2 linked regions of the Rhinolophus ferrumequinum genome follow. The protein of the gene in region 2 purifies or fractionates together with the protein of the main gene of each other region. This does not show direct contact. Links are inferred from orthologs where the notes say so. Each region holds a gene or a part of one and is shown on either strand. Other genes may lie near its edges.

Region 1 (7,705 bases), on a different chromosome or scaffold from region 2:
AAGACACACATGGAAATGATCAAGATCAAATCTGGTATAGTGAAAACCTTGGGATGGAGGTGTATACAGAGGGCTCTGATTGTAGTGGTAATGCTTTCTTTCTTTCTGTCTTTTTTTTTTTTTGGCGTGTTTAGAAGTTTATTGAAGAGATGCGAAGATGGGTGGAATTTTAGTTTGAATGTAAATCTCTTTTTTTCCCTTGCTAAATTATATATATATATATATATATATATATATATATATATATATATATATATATATATATATAAATTTTGATTACAATTTATTGGGGTGACAATGGTTAGTAAAATTACATAGGTTTCAAGTGTACAATTCTGTAATACATCATCTATATATCACATTGTGTGTTCACCACCCAGAGTCAGTTCTCTTTCCATCACCATATATTTGACTCCATTTACCCTCTTCTACCACCCCCTCCCCCTTAACCTCTGGTAACCATTAAACTATTGTCTATGTCTGAGTTTTTGTTTCTTCATGTGTTTGATTTGCTCCTTTGTTGCTTTCAGTTTTATATCCCACATCAGCAAAGGCATATGGTTCTCGACATTTTCTGTCTGTCTCATTTCACTTAGCATAATAATCTCAAGATCCATCCATGTTGTCGCAAATGGTACTATTTCATATTTTCTTATGGCAGAATCGTACTCCATTATATATATATCACATCTTCTTTATCCATTCATCTATCAAAGGGCACTTTGGTTATTTCCATGTCTTGGCCACTGTGAATAAAGTTGCACTGAACATAGGAGCACACATATGTTTATGGATAAATGTTTTCAGAATTTTTTGGTATATACCCAGGAGAGGGATTGTTGGGTCATATGGTAATTCTATTCTTAACTTTTTGAGGAACCTCCAAACTGTCTTCCATAGCAGCTGCACCAATCTGCATAATGCTTTATTTCTTAAGCTGGGTTGTGAGCATATTCTCTTTGTCGTACTGTTGTCTATATATTTATGCATTTTCAAAATATTTAAAAAGAGCAATTGCTCAATGCTGAGGCATCCCATCACCTGGGGCTGAGGAAAAAAACAAACAATGGAGTATCTTATTAGTTTGCACTATCCAGAACTACTTCAATGTGGTAAATTGAAACAACTCATCATATCCGATCATTCACTATGGGACAGGAGTTTACATACCATACATAAGATAATAATCCATAAGTTCCTATTTACATTGTTGCACAGGATAGTGCCTGGGTTTGCTTGCATTGGAGCGCTCACAATATTTGGCATAAGAATTTGAGCACAGAATCCTTGCGACAAACAAAGAGGATCAAACAGATAATGGACAGCAGATTGCGAAGCATGGAATCTGTGTAAACAGGCCATTGACTAACTTGGTTTTGGTTCATTGCTTATGTTTGTCTCTGTGTATTTTCAGATGGTTTAGTGAAACTGTGATAGGAGTCAGATCCTCACACATCCTCTTTAATGAGGTGGACCTTGGAGAGTGAGAAACCACACATGCATAAAGAAGGAAAAACTTAAAATAATATCTGGAAATTTTGCTGTGGAATAAGAAGATTGGACTATATGTTTTCTGAAGTCCCTTCTAGCTGAGGGTATTTCCAGCTCCTGCCAAGCACCACCTGCAAAGAAGAAGCAGAGAAGTGCTTGTTCTGAGTTCCCACAGGCCAGGTTAGGGAGATGAACACATTCAAAGCCCAGAGCTGAGGCAGAGAGGCCCTGAGGATGGAGTTAGCAACGCTAGACAGAACAAAAGGGTTTCCTTTTTGAAGAGTCTTCTTTGCACTTAAGGCTGTGGGTGGTGTATTTAAGGATTCCAGAATGGCAGAAAACTCTGGGTAGAGCCTGGGAGCTGAATTTTACTGTTTTGTCTGCTAGAATTAAAATGATTTTTTCCTTCCCTATTAAAGATTTTCAAAAAAGATGTTTTATATTATCAAAGCTATACCCACTATTATAAGAAAGTTGAAAAATACAGAAAATTAGGATGAAAATGAAAAGTTCATTTAGTTATACCACCTAGAGACAGCCACTATTGATAGTTTGCATATTTCTTTCTAGCCTTTTGTTCATGCATATCCTCCGATTTCCATTAATTGTTGTGATCATATGTATATTAAATACTGTATCCTACTTTCAGTTAATATTACACATACGTATTTCTTGTCATTATGAGCTACGTGTAAATACAGTAGTCCCCTGCTACCTGCTACAGTAGTCCCCTGCTACGTGGTTTTGCTTTCCACGGTTTCAGTTACTCATGGTCAACTGTGATCTGAAAATTTTAAATGGAAAATACCAGAAATAGACAATTCGTAAGTTTTAAAGTTTGTACCATTCTGAGTAGTGTGATAAAATCTCGTGCCGTTCTGCTCCATCCCACCGGGGATGGGAATCATCCCTTTTGATCAGTGTATCCACATTGTATATGATACCTGCTCATTATTAATTTTTGGCTGTCTAGGTTATCATATCAACTGTCACAGTATTGCAGTGCAGTGTTCAAATAACACATTATACTTAATAATGGCCCCAAAGTGCAAGTGTAGTGATGCTGACAATTCAAATATACCAAAGAAAAGCCATAAAGTGCTTCCTTTAAGTGAAAAGGCTTGTATGTAAAGGGAAAAAGCATAGTATGTATAGTGTTCAGTGTGTTTTCAGGTATCCACTGGGGGTCTTGGAATGTATCCCCCATGGATAAGGGAAGACTACTTGTCAATTTTACTGGCTATATAATATTCCATCGTATAACTCTAATTTACTTAACCATTGAACCATTAGGTTTTGCCCCTAGTATTTGATTATTCTAAGTAATACTGCAGTTAACATCATTGTACAAAAAGTTTGTGTTTCTTTAGGACACATTCATTCATTCATTTATTATACAAATATTAGCGAGGGCCTACTATGTGCCAGGTACTACCATGTTTCCCTGAAAAATAAGACCTAATCTGAAAATAAGCCCTAGCATGATTTTTATGGATGCTCGTAATATAAAATAAGCCCTAATGAGTCTTTTGGAGGAAAAATTAATATAAGACCCGGTCTTATTTTCAGGGAAATATGGTAAGGCTTATATTATATTATGAACATCCTGAAAAATCGTGCTAGGGCTTATTTTCCAGTTAGGTCTTATTTTCAGGGAAACATGATACTCTAGGTGCCCACTTTCTGCCTTGGGTTTTTTATACTGATACAGGAAACAATGGAGAAGGAGCAAATTTAAGAGAAAAGATGGTGGGTTCAGCTTCAGATGTGTTGAGTTTGAAGGGCCTGCAAGACATCCAAGTGGAGATGTCAAGAGAGCAGAGCTCAGTGGAGATATCTGGATAAGCTATAAAATTACAGGTGTGGCCATACAGATGATAATTAAAGCCAAGTGAGTGAAAGAGATCACTTAGGAAGAGAGTATATGTAGCCTAGCCCTGAGAATGTCTGTCTTTCAGAAGTTAGATAGCAGAGTGGAATGTACAAAGGAACTGAGGAGAGGGCAAAAGGGTAGGAGGAAAAGCAGAAGAGTATGGTGTCATAGATGCCACAGGAAGACTTTCAAGGAGGAGGAAATGGTTAACAGCATTAAATGTAGAGAAGAGGTCAAGCAAGATAAGGACTAAAAATGTCTTATTTGTTTGTTTGTTTGTTTATTTATTTATTTATTGACACGGAGGTCATTAGCTGGGTATCTTGTTGAGCACAGTCTCAGTGGAGTGTTGAGGAAGAAAGTCAAATTGTTGAGTGAAAATTAAGGGAGTGGAGATTACAAATGTACCTCTAAAGTATATTTGGAATAAATTTGTTCATAAAGAGGAGCTGGAGAGGTATTTGGTGTGTAAAGAGGATTTTTTTTTTTAAGATGGCGGAGACTTGAGCATGTTTATTTGCTGATGACAGGTGAGAGGGACTTGAGCATTGTTAATGGGTGATGAAAAGAAGAGAGGGAGAGAGAGAGAGGGAGGAAGAGAATGGGAGAGGAACTTACAATTACTGGGTAGATATAAACATTTTAGAGTCTAATTGATATATATTACTCACATGCTTTGTCAAAGGATTTTTAACCAAAATACACTCCTTCCAGCAATTATAAGATAACTTATCTGGTGGCCACTTTGTCATCATTGTTATAAAAACAAACAAACAAAAAACTTTGCCAAGGAACCTCATTATTGTTCTAATTTACTCTTTGATTAAATAGTGAGTTGAATGTTTTACCCACTTGTGTCCATGTGTGTGAATTTAGTCTTATGCTATTTGCCCAAAACGTTTCTATTTTAGACACTTTTCTTTGCCACAAAAGGCTGAAAGTCGAAGAATCAGAATGGTATCATGTTTTATCTTACCAAAGTATATGGTCTACAGTCTTCTTCTCCCTAAAAGTACACGACCGTTTGACAACTTTTGGCTCAGCTGAGTGAAGAGGTTTGTGATTTATCATCTGAGAGAGTGACCACAGATGGAAATAAAAAGGGGGTCAGGTCTAGTCTTAGACCCTTATCCTTAATCCTCAAGCTCCCTTTCATAATCCTGGAGGGCATCCCTCCAGTGCCTTAAGGCTTTGGTTCCCAGAGCTCCTCTTGTAGTGGCACCGTCCCCTACTCAGGAGCCTGGAGCGCTGTGCGGCCCCTTTAAGAGTCCAGCTCCTCCCCGCTCCAGGGAAAGTTGCAGCTTTTTCCGCCTCCCGGGAGGGTGAGAAGGACCGGCCACTGCCGGAGTGGGGTTGCGGTCTTCCCAGAGCCATAGACCCTGCCCTGAATCCGGTGCTGGGACTTCTAGCCTCTCTCGTGGCACCTGTTGCACCTGACAGGTAGGTTCGCGGCCAGAGGCCGCCCCTTCGCCGTCGGTCGGGGACTCCTGCCTGGCCCCCAGCCCCTTGTCTCTGCCTAAGCGCCCCCACCCCCATCTCAGGGCCCTGCGTCCTTCCCTAACCCCTTCCGCCCTCCCACTCTTTCCTGTCCCCTTTCTGCCTCCCTGGATAGCCCTCCTGCCCACGCCTCGACTCCAGTCTGCTTGACTCCCCGGGGACAGTCCCTCCCCGCCAGTTTGCTTTCTCCCGAGCGCCTTCCCAGGCCCACTGATCGCTAACGAAGGCTGTGCCTCTCTGTGTTCCCTGTCACGCCTCGAGCGGCGTGGCCGGCTTTTCCCGCCTGCCGGAGCTGAGGCAATTCCGGAGAGCCGGCCCGGGGGGCAGGGGTGGGGCCGGAGCTCCTAGCGGGAACTGCGCCCTCCGAGGCGTCGAGTCACCTTTTCGCCGGTTCCTCTGGCAGTGCCCGGCCATTGCGCGTGGTATTGTCCCCGTACTCCTTACGGACCTCAGGCGGCCCGCCACAGGTAAAAAGGCTGCTGGCTGGCTGGTTGGCCCTAGTCCTGCCTCGGTGGGCTTCTTCTGCACTTGGGGCGGGGGACCCGGCTGTGTGCTCCAGAGTTGAACTGCTTTATCTTGCCACTTTTCAAGCAGGCTTTGCTCCTGGAGGAGAGTCCTCAGAGCCCTCAGAAGGGGCCCAGAACACTTCTATCTTCTGTTTTGGTTTATAAAGGGGCTTATGAACGTCTCCAGCCCTTAACGTTGAATGAAATGGTTAGTTTTGGTGGTGAAATCATTTGGTTAGAATTCTGGTGGCTTGAACAACTGATCTGTTTCTCATTAACTAACCTTTTCCTCCCCCAGTACCCTACTTCTTCAGGACCAGAGGACCTAGCGCTCCAGAATACAGCTTTTGGCAGGGTTGACCCTAGAGCTTGAACATCTGTGGCAGACATTAGTCTTCAGTACATCCTGGACCTCCTATTTTAAACTGGCTTTTCTGCTTTTTCAGCTCCCGGACACCACCCCTCATAAATCCATTAATATTAAGGTATTAATGACCTAATGTGTTTACCCACTGGTTTGTGGAGAGAATAATGTCTAATGCAAAGAGTTGAGACTCTGAGAAAGTTTTTTGTTGTGTTTTTTTTTTTTTGGTTTGTTTTTGTTTTTTGTTTTTAGCACCTGCTGGAAATCCTAGTAGAAAGGGACCACCAACTTGGCTTGTGAGACTTATCCTGGCAGGAGGCAAACATTTCTGGTAACACAATTTCAGGGGCCTCACTCTAAGTCTGAACAGTGAAATGGAGGCCTGTTCAGGGATGACTGGTCTGTGAGTGTATGTAGCATTCTGGTTGATACTCTCTGAGTTTTCCCCTTAAAGGCTGCTATTAATAATGGTTGTTAGAATCCACTGAGCCAGGCGCTGTGATAAGTTCTTGACATAATTATCTCATATAATCCTCATGATAACTCTATGAAGTAGGCGCTACAATTATAATTGTGTTATGATGAAAAGGAGACTGAGAGGTTAAGTGCCTTGCTCCAAATCACCCAACAGATGAGGGACAGAGCTGGGTCATCTTAATGCACAGCTCTGTTCCTATCCCCTGTCATACCGTCTCTGCTGCCTTGGATGTTAGGAACACTAAATAGCTCACGAGTGAGGACTAAGTGATTAAAAATTTCCCTTCCACGCCAAAGTATAAGTTTTGGTCCTTGACTCTACCCTGGATGCACTGAGGAGACTTTGGACCATTTACCTCACTGGTATCTTGCCCACTTCACCACTTCACTTCCAGCAGGGGGCCAGTTGCCACATTGCCACTCTAGGTACACACCCCTGAGTGTACCTGTCTGAATGAAACTTCCAGGGCTCTTAGCTCAGTAGTCATTGTCCTGAAGTTAAGAGAGGGTAACTGGATTCTAGGGATGTGTGACTGACTCAACTTCTTCCTTTCCTGCTTGCTAGGGGAGAAATGAGGATGTGGTATGCGATAAGGATTTCCCAACAGTCAAGCCAGAGAGCCTGAGGGGAAGTGTTTGCTTATTTTATCCTGGGATGGATGGCATATCTGAGGCAGGGACAGTCCAGGAGAAAAATGTCTTCCCTGATCCGATCACTGGGCCTTTGCTCAAACTGCTCTTTTTTTCCCCCTGAAAAGATAACTTGCCACCCATACCCACTCCCTGCCATTAATTCCTATTTATCTCAAAATTTACTCTAAAGTCACCTCCTTTGGGACAGCCTTTCTGAATACAATTCCTTCCCCTATGCAGAATTACCAGTTATCCTGTGTCCAAAAGCTCTTTGTTTATACCTCAGGAAAGCCCTTAACACCTCTCTTAGTTGTTTTTCCACCTGGAAGGTTAACCACTTTAAGGTCAAGGTCTGGATCTTGGAGCTCCCTTTGTCTTAAGCGTGAAAAATCAACAAACATTTGTGCTAAGAACCGGGGGTCCCATGCCTTCAAGGGCCTGAGGTCTGGTGATGGTGGGATTGAAGTACAAAAGATACCTTTTTTGAGGCGCTTGAAATCTGACAACTAGGAGTTTGTGTTTAAATGTCACCTCAGTGAGGCCTTCCCTAATCATCTTGTTTAAACTTGAAACCCTTCCCGGAATATTCTATGTGCCCCTTCCCTACCTTATTACTCTAATGTAACATATTGCATATTTTATTCATTTTTCTTTCTTATTGTCTGTCTCTCTCCCCCCTCCACAATGTAAGTTCCACGTGGGCAGGGCTTTCTGTCTGTTTTATTCACTAGTGGACCCCAGCACCTATAACAGGGCCTGGGACATAGGTACTTACCAACGTTTGTTCAATGAATTAATGAATGACATTACTGTTCTAGGAACTGGCACTTTTTTGGGCTCTCCTGGAACTGAAACTAAGTGTCC
Region 2 (7,201 bases):
ACTGAGGGTTGCTAGATGGGAGGGCGGTGGGGATGAGTGAGAAGGTGAGAGGATTAGAAAGCACAAATTGGTAACCACAAGACTGCCATGGGGATATGAAAGACAGTTTGGGGAACATAATAGATAATGTTGTAAAGATTTTTGTAGGGTATCCGATGGACACTTGTCTTATTAGGGAGACCACTTCAGGGACGGTGTAGATGCCTGATCACTGCGCTGTACACCTGAAGCTGAAGCTGAATAGCAATGAATGTCAACTATAATTTAATATATGTATAGTCACGGGATGTGGAGTACAGCATAGGGAATAGTCAGTGGAATTGTAACAGCTATATACAACGTCAGAGGTGTAGTAGATTGGGGGAGGGGAGTTATCACTTTTTGAGGGGGGTAAATGTCTAACTATTACATTGTTTTGTACACCTGAAACTAATAAAAAAAAATGTAAAAGCTGTCTTTTCCCACCTCCTTCTTAAATGTTTTAGTAAGCACCTTATTCATGTGAAATATATTGTTCTTTCGGGGAAAAAAAAAAAACAAACTGCTGAGGGGGAAACCCATGTGACCAGACTGCCTATTTGCTGAATCTCTTTTTAAATAAAAATCTGTATGTTAACATTAATTTTTTAGAGCTGTCTACCTTACTATTATCCGTTAAATCCAGATAATAATGATATTCGCCTGGATCTCCTGGGCAGCGAGACTTTTCAAGGCGTAAGGGGATTATCCTCAGGGATTAAAATCACCAGATAGTCACTACTTTCACACTTTAACAAATTAGTTTTACGTTTTGCATTTTCGCCTCAGTTTAAGCCCCACTTGTTTGCCAGCAACCCTGGGCTACTGCTGTGCATTCTTCCCATTGTCTTTGGTCAAGTAGTTCCAGCCAGTGGACTAATTTTAGGATTTAAATTCCAGAAGTTAGTTCATATCCTGAGAATTTCAAATTCTGAATATGATCTAAGTTCTTGGGATTTGTTTCCCTGCATCATTATCGAATTCAATGAATCTCTAGGATCAACACATAATAAAGTTATTTTAAAATTCTTTATGATGAGACATGTATAATGAGTATGACATAAAACTGAAATCTAAAGCTGCAAATCATATGTTGGGCAAAAATTTTCAAAACTAAGTATTAATTTGAAGAATTGAGTCATCTTTCCAGACTTGGATTACAGAAACATTTTTTTAAAAGAAGAGAGAGGGAGAAACTTTGTTAACACAAAGTTCATGGAGTTGTAGTATGTTGTTATACCAACTAAAAAATAAATGTAGAAAAGTACTTTTGTTTTACAAAATATTGAAAGTCTATTACTACCCCCAATCTGATTTTCTACCTTCCTCCAGAAGGAAGGCTTTATCTTCAGAAAAGATTTTCCTTGCTTAAGATATATAGCAATCTTAATATATTTTTATATACTTCTATCATTTGTATTTAGAGATGCTGCAAATTAATTGTTAAACTCATTTGTGATTTTTGTTACGTATTTTAAAATATAAGTAGCATATTTACATAGTAAATATTCAATCAGAATGTTCAAAATATTACAAGTATAGAACAATAAAATAATACTAACCCTCCCTCCCTCATCTCCTGTATCCTATTTCTTCTGCAAAATAGAGTTTTAGGAGAATTATAGGTATATGTTCAAAAGTTTAATATTTAAACAATGTGAAATCTCATTTAGGATAAATCAATATATCAAATATACTGTACTTAAAATAAATTTTGAAACATTTAAAGTATTTTAAAAATTATTGTTAAAATGCTTTTTATTAAAGTCACATTTTCAATATCGATGCCTTGCTCTGAGTCTCAGTTTCACATTTTCTTTCCTGAAATAAATTAATATCTTAAACTTTCCTATAAATTGACCATAAATATGACTCAACATTTTATTCATTTTTAAATGTTTACCTATTACATTTTGTATAAAATACCTAAATTTGATCTAATTTCTAAGGTAATAATCTAACCTAACAATTTGACAAAACTTTAAAGTTTTCAAAGACATTTAATACATGAAATTGGCATCAAGGCCCTAAAAAAGCATTTTCAATTGATTTGTATGATTTTGATTGATTCAAATTGAGAATGTCTGATTTTCTCCATAGAGTCTTCTTCATTTGGGTTTTCTAATAAACTACTCCCTTATCACACATAATCAGATATATTGTTGAACAGGAAAGGAGAGCTTAGATTATTGTTTCTGAGTGTAATCTACTAATTGTAGTATTGAGTATGGCCAAGAGAAAGCAAATTAGATTTTTCTTCAATGGCTTTACACTGAGAGGTACAGAATGGTTTCACAGCTTTCTGGCAGCCCACATTTACGGTGAGAGTATTTGGAACACAGAAATAAAGAAAGCATAAAAAGATTTTTACACTGCACCACAGCACTGATTAGAAAGGACAATCTTTGAGCTTTGAAAACAGAAAACAGAAAGCAAAGAAGCAAGCCATCTGCAGCCCTGAGCAAAATCTCTTTGCCATCAAAACTCTGCTGCAAATCCAGCTTCTCCTCTTGCAAACCCACAGGCTAGAGGAGGGAACCACAGCCACTCCAAAGTAGAGTTTCAGGCCCATCATTAGTGGTTTATGTCACTGTCTTGGTGCTTTTCCTTCATGAATGAAATATGCAAATGGCATCTTACATTGGCTCTCTCAATGAGGAAGAAGAAGGTCAAGAAACACAACTAACAAAACCAGCACGTTAGAGATCTGTGACCGATGTACTTACACCTCCAAATGCCTCCAGATTTCAGCCTCTGGGGTATCTAGCCCATTTCTTTATGGCACTGTTGCTTCCATCAGCTGTGGAAATTAACATAAAATAATATAGTAACCCAACAAGTACTGGACAGCATTCCAGAGCATCAGATTAAGTGAACACTAAAGGCGCATTGACGGTGTACAAAATCTGAATGGTAAATAGCAAGTAAATACCTTCCAATCGACCGGAAGGGGGAAGGATGCTGAGCTGCTACAGCTGCTGCTTGCTCTCTTGTGTAACAGCAAAGGCGGCTCAGTCCCGCTGACAGGCTGCGAAGAGTGGCTGCCTATGGGCGTCTGGGCGGTCCTAGCGCCTGCGGCAGGTTAACGCACAAGGTAACTCCGAGAAGCCTATTTCCGGTGATATTTCTGAGGGGTGTCACCAAGTGTTTCAGGGATGCTTGTTAAGCACCAGGGTAGCGGGGTTTGAGTTTGGGAAAACTAATTAGTAAACAGGGTCTGCTAATGTTTCCAGACACTGCTGGTGAAACCAAAAAGGACTATGGATGATCTTGTCCATTAAATAAATGGTGCTTTTGAAAATGTTAAAGCCATAAGGCATTTAGAAAGAAAACTAATTCGCACGTCTACCATATTGACTAATCTGTTTATTTTTTTCCACACCCCCCCCCAACACACACACATTTAAAAAGTAAAGCGAAAAAGGAATAAAGAAGTAGGGGATTTTCAAAAGTTTGAAACATCTTTTCTTACATTTGCAAAAAGTGTTAAAGGTCTAAAAACTCCATGCTTGGCATATTTGGTTCAAAAACCTCAAAATAAATGCAAAAACAAACAAAAATAGACTTTCAGAAGCTTTTTCTCTAAAAGGCAAAATATACCAGACTCCATATAACACTTCCTTTCATCTTTATTTATTTACTTCACTTTTTTCCTTTGTAGCACCTTTTCCCACATAATATTCGCATTTCTTTTTCTTTTTTTTAAACTTTTAAAAATTTATTTTAAGTGTGTTTTTCCAGGACCCATGGCTCTAAGTCAAGTAGTTGTTTCAATCTAGTTGTGGAGGGCGCAGCTCACACTGGCCCATGCGGGGATCGATCGAACCGGCAACCCTGGTGTTATGAGCATGGCACTAACACACTGAGCTAACCAGCCGCCCCATATTTTTAAATATATTGTCTAACTCCCCCACTGCAACATAATCTCTGTGAGGGAATACACTATATTTACTTTGATAGAGTAATACTTTTATAGCCTAGAAGATTGCTCAGCACATAGTAGGTCCTCAGCAAATATTCGTGGAAAGAATAAACTGGACACTAAGCTGACAAATTACACTAAAGAAAATAAGTACAGAAATTAACTCTTAACTGATTAAATTCAATTATCAGATCTCTTTGAGCAACTGTTTTATTTAAGGGACTGTGTTAACTGCTATATATTTGCCTTTAAGGAGCTTATAATTTACATGTAAAGAAAAGATATTGTATGAAAAAAATCTGTATGTAATCAAACAAATATATGCACATCTAATATTTGCTGTAAGAGAGTGAACACTGTAAGTTAAGATGTGCTGTTTTCGCTAGGCGCTTCTATGTTTTGACATTATGGGTATGATATTGAGCTGGGGGACTGGGTTTGAGAATTCAGCAGTGGTTTCTTCCCTCCAACTCCCACCCGAATATATACAGTTTGGTTGGCAGTATGGTTCAGAAGGGACCAGAATTTAGAAAGTCAACTCTAGTAAGATTTGTTAGCAGAGTAAATACAGATACTAACACAGGTAAAGAGAGGGAGGGCAAGTAGGTGGGTACTGCAGGCCCTGGATCAAAGCCTCACATAGTCAGGGAGTCAGCAGGAAAATGGTCCAGCATCCAAGAGCGGTTGCCTTCCTGAGCAAGGAGGGGGCTGGTGGTCTGGGCTGTCAGACCGAGTAGGTGACGTATGGCAGCCAGTAGCAAGGTATTACTGGCCAATAACAAGGTATGCCAATAAAGCTGAGGCTCAGAGGTGCAGAGGCCAAGAGGGGAGAGAGAGAGTGAAGATCAAAGATTAAAGTAAGACTGTCTCCATGGAACACTCAAGGAGGGATTTTTTCATAGAAAAAGTACAGACCCAGAGGCTGAGGGTCAGCCTTGAGCCCAACAGTGAGGGGCACTGATGCCTCTTAAAATCGAAGCATCCAGAAATCAATCAGCTGGATTAATCTCAAGCCATGTGTGGGTCAAGCAGCTGTGACTGTGGTTGGGGAAGAACTGCAGAGAGAGGGAGTCATGCTGGTCACTAGAAAGTTGAACCAGAGTAATTTTGCCTCAATGAAAGAAAAATTGCTTTCTTCAGCCCACAAATTGTGATTCAATTGTCTACTGCATTTTTGTCCCCTTCTCAATCCAGCAGGTTTTCTGAAATGAGATTATGTTTTAAAAAGGAAAAGACCAGGAGCAGCGGGATGGCTCAATTGGTTAGAACGTGAGCTCTGAGCAACGTTGCGGGTTTGATTCCCACATGGGTCAGTGAGCTGCGCCCTCCAGAACTAGATTGAAGACAACGAGCTGCCACTGAGCTCTGGGTGGGTGGCTGACTAGTTCAGTTGGTTAGAGCACAGTGCTCTTAAATACAAGGTTCCCGGTTGGTTCCCACATGAGCCACTGTGAGCTGTGCCCTCCACAACTAGATTGAAACAACTACTTGACTTGGAGCTGATGGGTCCTGGGAAAAACACACTGTTCCCCAATAAAGTGCTGGAAATACACACTGTTCCCGTTCCCCAATAAAATCTTTAAAAAAATTTTTTTTAAATGTGCTTGTTTAAAAAAATGAAAAAAAGGAAAAGACCAGCAGCAAAAGGTGCAATGCAGCCTCAGAGATGAGAGTGGCTGTGACTGGCCCAAGAGGGAGGCAGTGCCCCTCTGTCAAGCATCTCTTTGTAGCTACTGATCTTTATGAATGTTAGAGAGCCTCCTGGGGAACCATCACTATGTCCACGGTTGGGTCTCAGAAATACACTGACATGTCATCTGTGGGATGATACCAAGTGGAGGGAGGAAGAGTAGGACTGCTGAGAGACATGTCACCATACAGATATAGACAGATCGATGGAATGATAGATAGATAGGTAGATAGATAATCAAAAAGACACAAACAATATAAAACTTTTGATCTAATGGATATAGACAAAAACAGATAATGAAACTTCTTCTCATACAAATATAGAACAAAGTTGTTCATGTACAAGGTCATAAAGCAAGTTGCAAAAATTTTTAAAGAATCAATATCACACAGACCATGTTCTTTGACCAGAGTGCAACTGCTTATGTCAGTGACAAAATGATAAATAAAACATTCCTACACAGTTGACAAATAAAGCCACACTTCTCAATAATTTGTGGGCAAAAGTGAAAATGAATACAGATATTTAAAAATAATTAGAAATGTACAATCACTACATATGGGAAGCTATGAAAGCATACTTAAAGATAAATTTATAGTCTTAAGTTTATATGTTAGCAAATACAAAGGCAGGAAAGTAAGAAAGGCGATAAATATTAGAGAAGAAATCAATGAAATAGAAAACAAATTTACACTAGAAAGAAATATACAACATCAAGAATCAACAAATACAAAAGCATTTGTTTTTTGGAAAAAGTTAATGAAATTAATATTTGGCTAAAGTGATTCAAGGAGAGAAGGCACAAAAACCATTTAGAAACACTTTATAAAATAGTAATCAGTTTTTGAAAAATGTATACATTATCTATCGTATAACCCAGTCATCCAAATTGTATTTGTTCAAGAAAAATGACAACTATAAAAGGCTTATATGAATTTTCATAATAGCTTTAGTTGTAATAATTGAAAATAGGAAACAACCCAAATGTCCATGAAGAGATGAATGGATAAACAAATAGTGATATGTCCATACAGTAGAATACTAGTGAGCAATAATAAGGAGTTACCTATCTATATCTGCAGCAACATAGATGAATCTGAAAATCATGATGCTGAATTTTGTAAAAAGCCAAACAAGAAAGGGTACACATTATATGATTTCATTTATAAAAACTGCTAGGGGATGCAAATTAATCTACAGTTGCAGAAATCAGAGCAGTGATTACATGGAGATAGAATAGAAGAAAAGATGGATTACAAAGGGGCAAGAGGCCTGTTGGGAATGATAGGTGATGGACATGTTCATTATTTTGATTGTGAGGATGGTTTCACAGTGTTTACATAGGTCAAAACTCACTGTGTTAGGCCCTGTCCTCAAAAAGTAGATATCACAACAGGACCAGAAGACAACACATCTAATGGGGGGAAACCTGTGAGAGAAAAGGGGAAGGAAGAGAGAGGAGGCTGGGAGAGCCATCAGACCACAGTGCAGAACTGACCCAGGTATAGGAGGCAGGAAAGTAAAGGAAGCAGGATGGAAAACAGGAAGGTCTTGGACTAGAGTGTAGTTCT

The links. The genes of interacting proteins can lie anywhere in the genome.
Region 1: the proteins of RAB27B (region 2) and SYTL4 purify together in Homo sapiens (co-immunoprecipitation; 3 studies listed by BioGRID and IntAct, counting the BioPlex papers as one, with this or other methods). This does not show direct contact. The link is inferred for Rhinolophus ferrumequinum from reciprocal best matches to the Homo sapiens genes RAB27B and SYTL4.

What each region holds. Positions count from the first base shown.
Region 1 is NC_046284.1:53,721,806-53,729,510, forward strand, and holds the start of SYTL4 (synaptotagmin-like protein 4), read left to right. Parts: upstream 1-4,681; 5' UTR 4,682-4,804; intron 4,805-5,169; exon of another isoform or gene 5,170-5,328; intron 5,329-7,705. UniProt on the Homo sapiens protein: Modulates exocytosis of dense-core granules and secretion of hormones in the pancreas and the pituitary. Interacts with vesicles containing negatively charged phospholipids in a Ca(2+)-independent manner.
Region 2 is NC_046302.1:44,327,845-44,335,045, reverse strand, and holds the start of RAB27B (ras-related protein Rab-27B), read right to left. Parts: upstream 3,023-7,201; 5' UTR 2,951-3,022; intron 2,819-2,950; 5' UTR 2,745-2,818; intron 1-2,744. UniProt on the Homo sapiens protein: Small GTPase which cycles between active GTP-bound and inactive GDP-bound states. In its active state, binds to a variety of effector proteins to regulate homeostasis of late endocytic pathway, including endosomal positioning, maturation and secretion.